Danio rerio: one gene and its partners. The protein of the gene in region 1 purifies or fractionates together with the protein of each later gene. This does not show direct contact. Links are inferred from orthologs where the notes say so. Each region holds a gene or a part of one and is shown on either strand. Other genes may lie near its edges.

Region 1 (4,257 bases):
ATATTATTAGTATAATTTGTATTATTTACTTATTTCATTTGTTTTCTGCAGTTCTTTAAGTGTTGTCTATTTATTAGACAGACAGACAGACAGACAGACAGACAGACAGACAGACAGACAGATAGATAGATAGATAGATAGATAGATAGATAGATAGATAGATAGATAGATAGATATTAATAATAATATATTAATAATTATAATAATAAAAATAGCACATTCATCCATCTATATACCTTAACTGTTAAAAATCCGCAGACAACAACCAAAAATTATAAGTTTTTATAAATATTATTATTATTATTAGTAGTAGTAGTATTAATAATAATAATAATAATGTTGATTGTTGTTGTTTTGTTTATAGCAATAATTATTGTCATTATGGCATTGCTATTATTGTAAATAATGTGTCATGGTTATTTTATTATTATTATTAATATTATTATTATTATTAATAATAATAATAATTATTATTATTATAATAATCATCATCATCATAATGATAATAATTCATTCATTCATTCATTCATTCATTCATTTTCTTTTCGGCTCAGTCCCTTTATTAATCTGGGGTCGCCACAGTGGAATGAACCGTCAACTTATCCAGCTTATGTTTTAAGCAGTGGATGCCCTTCCAGCTGCAACCCATCACTGGGAAACATCCATACACTCCCATTCACACACATACACTACAGACAGTTTTAGCTTACTCAGCCAAGATCACATGTCTATGGACATGTGGGGGAAACTGAGGCTCCCGGAGGAAACCCATGCGAATACAGGGAGAACATGCAAACTCCACATACTCCACTGACCCAGCCGTGGCTTGAACCAGCAACCTTTTTGCTGTGAGGCGATTGTGCTGCCCACTGTACCACCATGCTGCCAATAATAATAATAATAATAATAAATAATAATAAATAATAATGATAAATTATTATTACTATTATTATTAATATTACAAATTTTTCATAATTTGTTGTTTTATTATTACAATTATTATTATTATCATCACTATTAATATAACAAATGTCTACTAAAGTATTAATATTATTGGTATCATTTGTATTATTACCTTATTTCGTTTGTTATCTGCAGTTCTTTAAGTGTTGCCTTTATCAGACTGACAGATATTTGTATTTATTTATTAATATTTAATTAAATGCTTTTTATAAAATACATGTGAATGCACATGCACTTCATTCATTTCGCCTAGTGTAGTACGCCTGAGGATCCTGACAAAACAATTTCATTCTGACTCAAGAAAAAGTATGACGTATGATTTGTGTGGCCCTGCATCAGTGGACGTCCTGTACTGTACTGTCAAGGCGGAGCGAGCAGGGGAGCGAGCACTGCGTTACTATGGAGACGTGTTTGCTTAGGGAACGCGCATGGCTGGGGGCGCGCAGCAGAAGTCGCTAGAAACGTTGAGCTGATGCGTCACTGCGCGCCAGTGTGTAGAGACACGCGCACTCCTTGTGCAGGTTGACAGCGGCGCATAAACAGCTATAGCTTCCGTCTGTATGCCTTCACTGTGATCTGACAGCACAAATCCAAAACACTACCCCAGGCGAGAGGACGCGAGAGGAGACGCAGATTTGGGTGAACACTGAAAGGAGAATTCGACATGTGAGTCTGACCGGCAGTCATAGGGATGCACTAACTTTAGCTAGTTAGCAAATGTGTGCATAACCTTTATCAGCGAAACACCAGATTCTCTCTCATACGCCAACTATCATGTATGAACATTTAGGACAATACGAATCTTCCTCGTGAAGAAGCTTAGAATTTGTGTAGAAAAACGTCTAGTGGTAATTGGTGGTGGAAATAGCACACATTGTCCCCACAGCAGAGCTTAGCTAGCTGGTTAGCAGCTAGATAGTTAGGCCTGGGGTTACTGCAAGCTACTATGGCATGATTCTATTCTGTTCATCTATTCATGCTTCATATGCATTATTGTAGAATGTACAAGCAATATATGTGTCATATAAATCAACCTTTTACAGATCAAGGCTTGCAGGCTGGGTGTTCCCTATTGGAAAAGAACATGCTTAAGTCATGTTTGCTGTTTGAACGGGTTTAAGAAGGTATTAATGCCAGTTTATGCTGGTCTTCCATGCTGGAGATCAGTTGGGTGGCTATTTGGCCAACTGAAGGGGTTTAGTTTGTCATCCCAGCTTTACACGACAGGTTTGTGAGATGGTTTTGAGTACTTTCCTTCAGGTCATGCTGGTTAACAGTCTACAGGCTAAACCAGCAGAGCAAGGCTGAAAGGTTTTCAGCTGCGATCAATGATACACCATCTTTTTAAATGCATGTATGGACATGATAAATGCTAAAATTAAAAAATATGAACCAAATCTCCTTTATAAATAATATAGTAATATAATAATAAATGTTCAGCATCTTGTGGTTTCTGAATGATCACGTAAAACACTGAACCCTGGAGTAATGATGCTGAAAATTAATCTTAGAAGGGATAGTTCACGCAAACATTTTCATTTACTCACCCTTTAATTGTTTCAGACATTTGAGTTCCTTCTGTTAGACACAAAAGATTTTTTAAAGAAAGCTGGAAACCTGTAACCATTGACTTCTTGTGCTTTTTTTCCTACAATGGAGGTTAATAATTATAGTTCTTTAAAACATCTTTTGTGTTTAACAAAAGAAAAATACTTAAAGGTTTAACCACATAAGGGAGAGAAAATGGTGCGAATTCTAAATATTTGGGTGAATTATTCCAAGAATCAAAGTTATAAAGTTACTTTTTAAAGCCTTAAAATTAAAAAGTTACTTAGAATGACTGTTTTATTGTATCCTATACAGGGTATCCACAAGGTCTTAAAAAGTCTTAAATCTCAAAAATTTTAATTTAGGCCTCAAATAGTCCCAAATCAACTGAAATATTGTGTTGTATGTCTTAAATCTTTTTTAACATTCTTAATTTTCCTCTGTTCATGTATAGCTTCCCAATCTGGCCATTAACACTCATACAATCACCAACAATCTCAACAAAACTTTTCATTTAGAAATTGCATTTTGAACTAATTTACCATCATTGTTTAATTACTTTCCTTACAGTAATTGTTTTTAAAAAGTTCGCCCATTTATTTACTGCTGAGGATACTGACCACCTGACCTATATTTGTTATTATTAAATTATTATTATTATTGTATTATTAAATGTATTAAATTCTAATTATTTTTGAGAGGGCAAGTGAAAAAATTTTCCAACTGGGATATTCGAAAAAAAAAAATCCTTAGCATTTAGCTTTAAGTCTAAAATTTCCTTCATGATAAAAAGGTCTTTAAAAGTCTTACATTTAACCTAATGAAACCTACAGAAACCCTGCTTATAACTACAGCAATAAAAATAAACTCCAGATTTAAATAGGAGTTATTGTGCAGCCCTTTATTACAGAGGCCTGGTTTTGCTATAATTGTATTACATGGGTTAAGCCTTAGGTAGATTGTTAAGAAGCCATGCATGATCCTGCCAATTGATACAAATAGGTTGCCACGGTAACGTCATTGTTGCTCCACCCCCGCCAGGACCTCCTGCCCGCACATGTTAATTTAGAGCTGCACTTTTAGTGTGGAGTTTGACTTTTAACAAATGCACTTAGCTGGTTGCTCAGTTCCTCATGGATTCCATTAGAATTAAGTGATATTGTGTTTTTGAATGTCATATTAAAGTGGAGTTAGACTGAAGCCTTTTCTAAAACATTGCTTTTCATTTTTTGTTTTGCAGGCAGCCAGCTACTGCCAAGTGGTATGACAGACGGGAAGCTGTCTTCATCGAGTTTTGTATAGAAGACAGCAAAGATGTCCAAGTTAAATTTGACAAAACAAAGCTTGATTTCAGGTACATCCTTGTTTTAAGTTGTTAATAGTAGGCCTGAGTGATTTTGGAAACATTTTACATTGCATTTTTTTCTCTGCGATGTATATTGCGATATAAATTCAATTTCACCAGATGACAGTTATAGCTCTATCTGCAAAATCTTTAGTTTAGTGTGATTGGGATGATTGTGTAGGGGTGTGAAATATAAATATATATTTTAAATGTAATTTATTATATACATATAATAAACAAACTACATTCATATATCAACACAATGGTGCAAAAATGAAAGTAAATTAAACCATGTTTTCTGGAGAGAATCTAACAGTATTCAGGTACAGAAATTAAATAAATGTAAAATGTCAAATGTAAAATAACATTGCATAGTCTTCATTATACAAGTAATTTAATAA
Region 2 (3,987 bases), on another chromosome or scaffold:
AAAAAAAAAGAAAAGGAAAGAGACTTATTTTTATTTAAGTACTTCATCATTATTCCATATTACGTAAGAAATTGTTTCAATTACATTTTCAAGCACTTTATCCAAGACCTTAAAAACAGCAGATCCAAATTCAAGCATATTTTTTAAGGATTTCCCGCACCAGTACAAACATTGACAATCTCAGCAGTCTATTACATTACCTGGAACAGAAGAGTAGCATTAGGAGGGATTTTTGGGGGGCTGCCAGCAGCTCCGTATGCATACTCAGGTTTGCATGTCAATTGGCAGATCTCGCCAATCTTCATTGTAGCCACACCGATGTCCCATGCTTTGATCACCTGACCTGCGAGATGGAGCAAATAATTGTCTAAAATTGTTGACTTGGATGCGCAATGATGTTTTGCTTGCATTTACAAATGCATCTGTTCCTATGCCCTGCAGTTTTCTGCCCTTATCTCGAACACAGGCTTGGATTTGTATTCGCCTCAATCTAATCGACAAGTAAAAATATATATAATACCTGCTACATTTCTAGATATATCTTTTATTTTACTTTCAATTCTATCATCACAAATCAGGTATTTCATCTAAAGCAATTTTAAGTAACATAATATTAAGAAATGTCTAAGATGTTTTCATGTTTACAACAAGATAAGAGACATTGAGAATACACCCTTGTGGTTTATTATTTAAGCTTCTGCTATTCATGAAAAAGAAACAAGAAGCTAAATGAAACTACAGAGGTTGCCGAGTACATTAAACATCAAGATGAACAGGTTAATCTGATCACATTCTTACAAACTCATAGTTTCAGGGGAAATGTTGTTTACAGTTTTAAAGTGTGTCAGAAGCTTTACGGCTGTGACATTATAGTTGTGTGTTTAGGCGCACAACATAAAGACAGACAGGTTAGTTAGTCAAGATTATCATCAAGTACGTTTACATGGACACCAATAATCTTATTAATACGATTAAGACAATACTCTGATTAAGAGTCTACCATGTAAACAGCGATTTGATTCATTTAATCTAATTAAGGTCATAATCGATCCAAACAGAAATCGAATTTAGACGTGGAGTATGCTGATTTTAGTCGAACTGAACTTCAACTCTGAAAACTGGACTGACACAGTTTCAATCTACTACAACTTCTATGTTAAGCTGCTTTGACTCAGCCTACATTGTAAAAGCGCTACAGAAATAAAGATGGATTCAATTCATCTAATTCACCTAGACTCTGTTTAAGAGTCAGCGAGGGCGAACTACCATTTAGCGCACTTCACCCTTACTCACCTTTGCCCAGCTCAAAGGAGAACTTTTCCCCTCGATCACGGCTGGAGTCGAACTGTGAGCCATCAAGCAGTGTTCCGACATAGTGCACAAATACTTTATCACCAATCATAGGCAACTCGGTGCCAGTACCCTCCTTCTTGACCAACTGTGGAAGAGAGAAAGAGATTCATCTTCAATCTGTTGGGCACACTGCACTACACCTGTGACCTGTCAATCTTCAAAGACCGCAGGGCAGAAAGATGTTCACGCCTAATGCTTAGGTTAATGACTTTATACACAAATAACTCTTATATGTTTGTAATAATCGAATAGTTTAAGCATACACAGAGCCATATTCCACACAATAATCACACAATAAATAAAATTATTAAGTTATTTAGGTGAATTCTTCTTGAATGAGTTGCACCGAAAGCGTTTAATTATCCCAAACAAGTAATTCCTGTATTTGTATCTGATAACACCAACCTGAGGTTTCCAGAGATTACATGCTTTGATTGCTACTGATTTTAATCACATAAGTTACATGTGTCACTTGTATATTAAACAGAAGCGGCACAAAACTTTGTTTAATTAACATTGCAAACCAAAAGAATTGTAATACTAAAAATAAATAGGAAGATTCACCTAAAAATAAGATTTGTCACATTTGCTAACTTTAACGTTGTTTATAAAACTGAATGGTTGTGCTTTTGTTTACAAAACAATATATTTACCAGTCACCATTCGTTTTAGTAACGTTAGCATACAACAATGCATAATGAAAGTGAACGGTGACCCGCGGCTGTCAGACGCTAATGTCTCCTTTTGTGTTTACATTACAAGGTAAATCATATAGGTTTATGAACACATTGAGACGAAATGAATCAGATCAGAAATATTATAATTTCTGAAGCGAATTCTCTCTTTAGGCGCGGTAGAAAGATCTAGAAAACGCAGCACAATTAGCAACAGGCGTTGTTTATTAATACATACTGTTAAAATAGTCACATTTAAATGCACAACAACAGCTATAGCAGTAGTAAAAGTGCATTAATAGACAGACATATCGTCTGTAACATGCTTTTTAGTCAGTCACACCTCCCACATGGAGTCAATGCGGCTCAATGCCCTGCAGTATTTACCTTTAAAACCCCTCCATCTTTCTTCGGGGTAATGTCTTCACCCTCGATGGGGATGCTACAACCTTCATTCGCCACCTCCTCTGCAGTCATCGTCGCTTTAATATAGGTATCACCTTCAAAATACCACCAAAATACAGACTGAGTCTCCTCGCCGAGGTCTTTCCTTCAACAGCTAACGTGCAGAAATCACTGAAGACTCGACGTCTGCAGGGCTAAACGGCTTTAATTTCGGTATTAGGAGTGGATTTGCTAAGCTATCGCGCGATTGTGGCAGTCAGCGGCCGATAAATGTGGTTTTTGGGAACGCGCAGGGACTCCGCGAGGCGTTTATATAACGATCGGGCCGCCGCTGGAAACTGAATCGACTCAGCGAACTTTCCAGAGCTGCGCGAGAGCGAGGAGACGGCAAAGTCTAGAACTGACTGCAGCGTGAGGGACCGTCGCAAAATTCTAAACCCAGTCATTAGCGGAGAAAGGGATATGCGAGTTTGTGATACAATCAGATTGTAGAGAAATCCAAATGTCGTAATCAACACTCCTATTACAATATGACTATTCTATTTTCCACATTTTCATTTGAATTGTAAAAACTGATACCGTTTTAGCAGTGTATATTTAATAAAAAGGAAAATATCTGTTAGCATTTACATAAAGCTTTATATATATATATATATATATATATATATATATATATATATATATATATATATATATATATATATATATATATATATATATATATATATATATATATATTACCTTCTAACTGTAAAATCTCCCATACTGACATCATATATATGGGGCGTCTGCATATTTAATAACTGAATAACTGACAGTGCACGTTCATTGAAAAGTAAGAATGATTAATAAATCCATATGAAACAGTCCCTTAAAAGTGACACACTCAGGCGCACTTTGCACTCACACTACAAGTGTAACTGCCTAAGCTGTCATGTTATTGTTGATGTTGCTCGGATTACTTGAAAAGTCCCCATTAGATCATAACCTGCTTTGGATAAACACTTCAGCTATATTATTTAATTTAAGTGTATGAAAGCACATATTTTAGTCTATATAATTTTATTAGTTTTCCCAGAGATGGGTTGTGGCTGGAAGGGCATCCGATGTGTAAAAACTTGCTGGATAAGTTGGCGGTTCATTCTGCGGTGGCGACCCCGGATTAATAAAGGGACTAAGCCAACAAGAAAATGAATGAATGAATAATTCTATTCGCTTGTTAAGTGGTGACGTGTTGGTGCCGTATGTAATACTTTTTCCGGGTCCACTCATTTGAATTGACAAAATATTTGTTTATGATCACTTTTTATTCTTATTATACATTAAAGTGAATTTTATATAAAGTTATGGTGTACACAACAGTCTCTGGGCTTGCTGCATCCCAAATTCCAAAATTTTAACAATTTATAAAAAAAAAAACGAATCACTTTCTGCCCATCGGATATTAGGCATGGATCTATATATTGCGATCATGATTTTCGCAAGTATTACAGCGCTTTGAAAATGTTTATCATTACCCTTTCATGAGTCTCCTCATACAGTTTGATAAAGTGAT
Region 3 (4,225 bases), on another chromosome or scaffold:
AGCTGATAGAAAAGCAACAGTAACTCAAATAAGCACTCGCTACAACCGAGGTCTGCAGAAGAGCATCTCTGAACACACAACACGTCCAACCTTGAGGCGGATGGGCTACAGCAGCAGAAGACCACACCAGGTGCCGCTCCTGTCAGCTAAGAACAGGAAACTGAGGCTACAATTCACACAGGCTCACCAAAACTGGACAATAGAAGATTGGAGAAACGTTGCCTGCTCTGATGAGTTCTAAAGTTATATCCTTTCAGTGGTTTGTTATGCAGTGACATGCAGTCAAATATTTCGCCAAACAGTCCTTAGGGATGCGGTAAAACGCAGTCAGATATTTTACCGGACAGATCCGCCACTTTTGGCGCGCATAAACAATCATAAAGCTCTCGTGCTGCAGGAATGAGGAGGTCTGCTGAAGGCGCGCAGCTGTCGTGCAGTGAGAGATTTGTGTCTTTAATAAACTACGGCAGTTTGTGATCACTGAACAGTAAGAATGATTAATAAATCCATATGAAACAACCCCTTAAAAGTCACGTGTCTCTTTCAGTTTCGGGCTTTGGCGCGTTTTGCACTGAGCGTCTCTCTCTCTCTCTCTCTCTCTCTCTCTCTCTCTTTCTCACTCACTCACTCACTCACTCACGCGGGCATGCACTGTGGTCTCATGAGGAAACGCTGATTTTTGATATAGTGTTTTCCTTGCTCCCGAATACAAATAATATTTCAAGTATTTGTTCGAATCAAGTATTCGTAAAAACACGCTATTCGTGCCTTTCCGAATACCGTATTCGGGTTCGGCTCCACCCTTAATACATACGTATATATACATATACATATATATATGTATATATACGTATGTATGTATATATATATAAATATACATATATATATGTATATGTATATATGTATTTGTGTGTGTGTGTGTATATATATATATATATATATATATATATATATATATATATATATATATATATATATATATATATATATATATATATATATATACTTTTGTACCTTTAGGGTAATCTATGAGATAAACTATTTAAACATTTTAGGTAATAATATATAGGCATATGTCATTTAAAGTTATCTTGTCATTTTAATCACAGCTCACAAAAGCAACTGAATCCGATTCTCTTAAACCCCCTCTGAGCATAACTAAAACCTTCAGCTTTAGCTTTAGTACTCTAAATCCTTACCAATTAGACCTCCTTACTACTAACAAAGACATTAATATTTTTAAGATCCTTCTGAGTATGACAGATGTTTCTCAAAACACACAAACTCCCTTCTTCTCCCGCCTTCAGTAGTGTGTGAAATGTGAATGAAGCGAGGCGGGGCGTATTTATCATGTCACATCTGTAACCACGCCCTCCCTCAGTGACGTCAGAGGTTTGGTTTGTACTTGCGACGTGCAGAACGCAGAGCAACACAGCCACGCGCTTGTAGAGGAGAGCGCAGCGGGATGGAGCGCGCGCGCTGCACGGTGTCGATCCCGACCCCTGTGGTTTATTTAACGGGAATATCTTACCGTGATGAACGGACGCGGTTGTTCGTTCGTATATGTTGATGCTGACGCGTTGTGCGTGAAAGTTGACCGGTGGAAGCACCGGATTTAAAGGGTCGGTGACATGGAGAAGTGCCCGACAGTTCTGGATCCCGACGGGGATAAGCAGTACTGCGAGCTGTGTGGGAAGATGGAAAACCTGCTAAAATGCGGTAGGTGCAGGATCTCATTTTACTGCAGCAAAGAGCATCAAAAGGAGCACTGGAAAAAGCACAAACTCACCTGCAGAGAGGCTGACAAACACAACACTGTGCCCCAAACCCAACAACAGCACCCCAAAACTGCCCATCCAGAGAAAAACAACCTGATCTGCAGCTCAGAAGCTGATCTGAAAGCCAAACCCCACACACAGAAGCTGGCCACCGATTATATAATCCCATGTATGAACAAGCATGGCATCTGTGTGGTGGACAACTTTCTGGGGGAAGACATGGGACTGTCCATTTTGGAGGATGTGAAGGCTCTTCATCAGACGGGTAAATTCACTGACGGTCAGCTGGTCAGTCAGAAAAGTGACTCTTCGAAGGACATACGGGGGGATAAAATCACCTGGATTGAGGGGAAGGAGCCTGGATGCGAGAAAATCTGCTTCTTGATGAGCCGCATGGATGACCTGGTCAGGAATTGCAATGGGAAACTGGGAAACTACATAATTAATGGAAGGACTAAAGTAAGTATCTGTCTGTCAACTGTGTGCATGCTGTATTTTAGGGTTATGGTGATGTCAAATGTGCATGTTTTAGAGAATTGATGAAGCTTTTCATGTACAGTATTATCACAATAGGTGAATAATAATAAGTGATGAACAGGTATGATAAAAAAAAACGGTTTATCAAATGTTCAGAGTAAACAAATGTTTCAACCTAATTAAATGTAATTGAATTTTAAAATTTTAGTTAGCATATTAAAATCGGAAAAGTCACATTCATTACAGTTACTAAGTTAATATTAGGTGCCATAGTTAATATATGAAATAATTTTTCAGCACTCTTCAGAATAACTTGCTTTGTGTTCAACAGATGAAAGAAACTCATAAAAGTTTACAACCACTTGAGTCTGAATAAATGATGAGGACAATTTCATTTTCAACTGGCAACCAAAATTGTCAGTAAGTTATTGTAAATTTATTTTGCAACCAAACCTGCAACCAAAAATTTCAGTACATTACTATAAATTTATTTTGCAACCAATCTGGCAAAAAAAAAAAAAAAAAAAAAAAATTGTCAGTAAGTTACAGTAAAGTTTTAAGTTACAATAAGTTACTATAAATGTATTTTGCAACTGGCAACCAAATTTGTCAGAAAGTTACCATAAATGTATTTTGCAACCAAACTGGCAACCAAAATTGCCAGTAAGTTATTGTAAATGTATTTTGCAACCAAAATTACCAACAAGTTACTGTAAGTGTATTTTATAACCAAACTGGCAACCAAAATTGTCAATACCTTACTGTAAATGTATTTTGCAACCAAACTGCCACCAAAATTGTCAGTAAGTTACAGAAAAGCTTTAAGTTACAATAATTTACTGTAAAGGTATTTTGCAACCAATCTGGCAACAAAAATTGTCAGCAAGTTACAGTAAAGTTTTGAGTTACAGTAAGTTACTGTAAATGTATTTTGCAACCAATCTGGTAAAAAAAAATTGTCAGCAAGTGACAGTAAAGTTTTGTTACAATCAGTTACTGTAAAGGTATTTTGCAACCAAAAATTTCAGTAAGTTAATATAAATGTATTTTGTAACCAAACTGGCAACCAAAATTGTCAGTAAGTTACAGTAAAGCTTAAAGTTACAATAATTTACTGTAAATGTATTTTGCAACCAATCTGGCAACCAAAATTGTCAGTAAGTTATTGTAAATTTATTTTGCAACCAAAATTACCAGCAAGTTACTGTAAGTGTATTTTGTAACCAAACTGGCAACCAAAATTGTCAATAAGTTACTGTAAATGTATTTTGCAACCAAACTGGCAACCAAATTTGTCAGTAAGGTACAGTAAAGCTTTAAGTTACAATAACTTACAGTAAATGTATTTTGCAACCAATCTGGCAACAGAAATTGTCAGCAAGTTACAGTAAAGTTTTGAGTTACAATCAGTTACTGTAAATGTATTTTGCAACCAAAAATTTCAGTAAGTTAATATAAATTATTTTTGCAACCAAACTGGCAACCAAAAATATCAGTAAGTTACAGTAAAGTTTTAAGTTACAATAAGTTATTGTAAATGTATTTTGCAACTGGCAACCAAAATTGTCAGTAAGTTACCATAAATCTATTTTGCAACCAATCTGGCAACCAAAATTGCCAGCAAGTTTTGCAGTACTTTTTAGTGTAGTGTTTTGGATTTAATTGTATTTTGAATGCAGTTACTCATCATTTATTCAGACTCAAGTGGTTGTAAACGTTTATGAGTTTCTTTTATCTGTTGAACACAAAACAAAATATTCTGAAGAGTGCTGAAAAAAAGCACCCTTTAACTTCCATTGTAAGAACACAAATAGTATAAACACTGGGTGAACTGACCCTTTAAGTAACATGTAGAGTTGAAGGAGATTATTTTCTAGACATAATAGTTTAATAACTCATTTCTAATAACTGATTTCTTTTATCTTTGTCATGATGACAGTAAATAATATTTGACTAGATATTGTTCAAGA

Evidence for each region. The genes of interacting proteins can lie anywhere in the genome.
Region 2: the proteins of ptges3a (region 1) and fkbp4 purify together in Homo sapiens (affinity purification with mass spectrometry; 3 studies listed by BioGRID and IntAct, with this or other methods). This does not show direct contact. The link is inferred for Danio rerio from reciprocal best matches to the Homo sapiens genes PTGES3 and FKBP4.
Region 3: the proteins of ptges3a (region 1) and egln1a purify together in Homo sapiens (affinity purification with mass spectrometry; 5 studies listed by BioGRID and IntAct, with this or other methods). This does not show direct contact. The link is inferred for Danio rerio from reciprocal best matches to the Homo sapiens genes PTGES3 and EGLN1.

Annotation. Positions count from the first base shown.
Region 1 is NC_133198.1:29,970,431-29,974,687, forward strand, and holds the start of ptges3a (prostaglandin E synthase 3), read left to right. Parts: upstream 1-1,457; 5' UTR 1,458-1,627; coding exon 1,628-1,629; intron 1,630-3,751; coding exon 3,752-3,865; intron 3,866-4,257. UniProt on the Homo sapiens protein: Cytosolic prostaglandin synthase that catalyzes the oxidoreduction of prostaglandin endoperoxide H2 (PGH2) to prostaglandin E2 (PGE2).
Region 2 is NC_133193.1:7,697,214-7,701,200, reverse strand, and holds the start of fkbp4 (peptidyl-prolyl cis-trans isomerase FKBP4), read right to left. Parts: upstream 2,801-3,987; 5' UTR 2,505-2,800; coding exon 2,415-2,504; intron 1,439-2,414; coding exon 1,294-1,438; intron 344-1,293; coding exon 201-343; intron 1-200. UniProt on the Homo sapiens protein: Immunophilin protein with PPIase and co-chaperone activities. Component of steroid receptors heterocomplexes through interaction with heat-shock protein 90 (HSP90).
Region 3 is NC_133188.1:52,996,937-53,001,161, forward strand, and holds the start of egln1a (egl nine homolog 1), read left to right. Parts: upstream 1-1,425; 5' UTR 1,426-1,631; coding exon 1,632-2,237; intron 2,238-4,225. UniProt on the Homo sapiens protein: Cellular oxygen sensor that catalyzes, under normoxic conditions, the post-translational formation of 4-hydroxyproline in hypoxia-inducible factor (HIF) alpha proteins.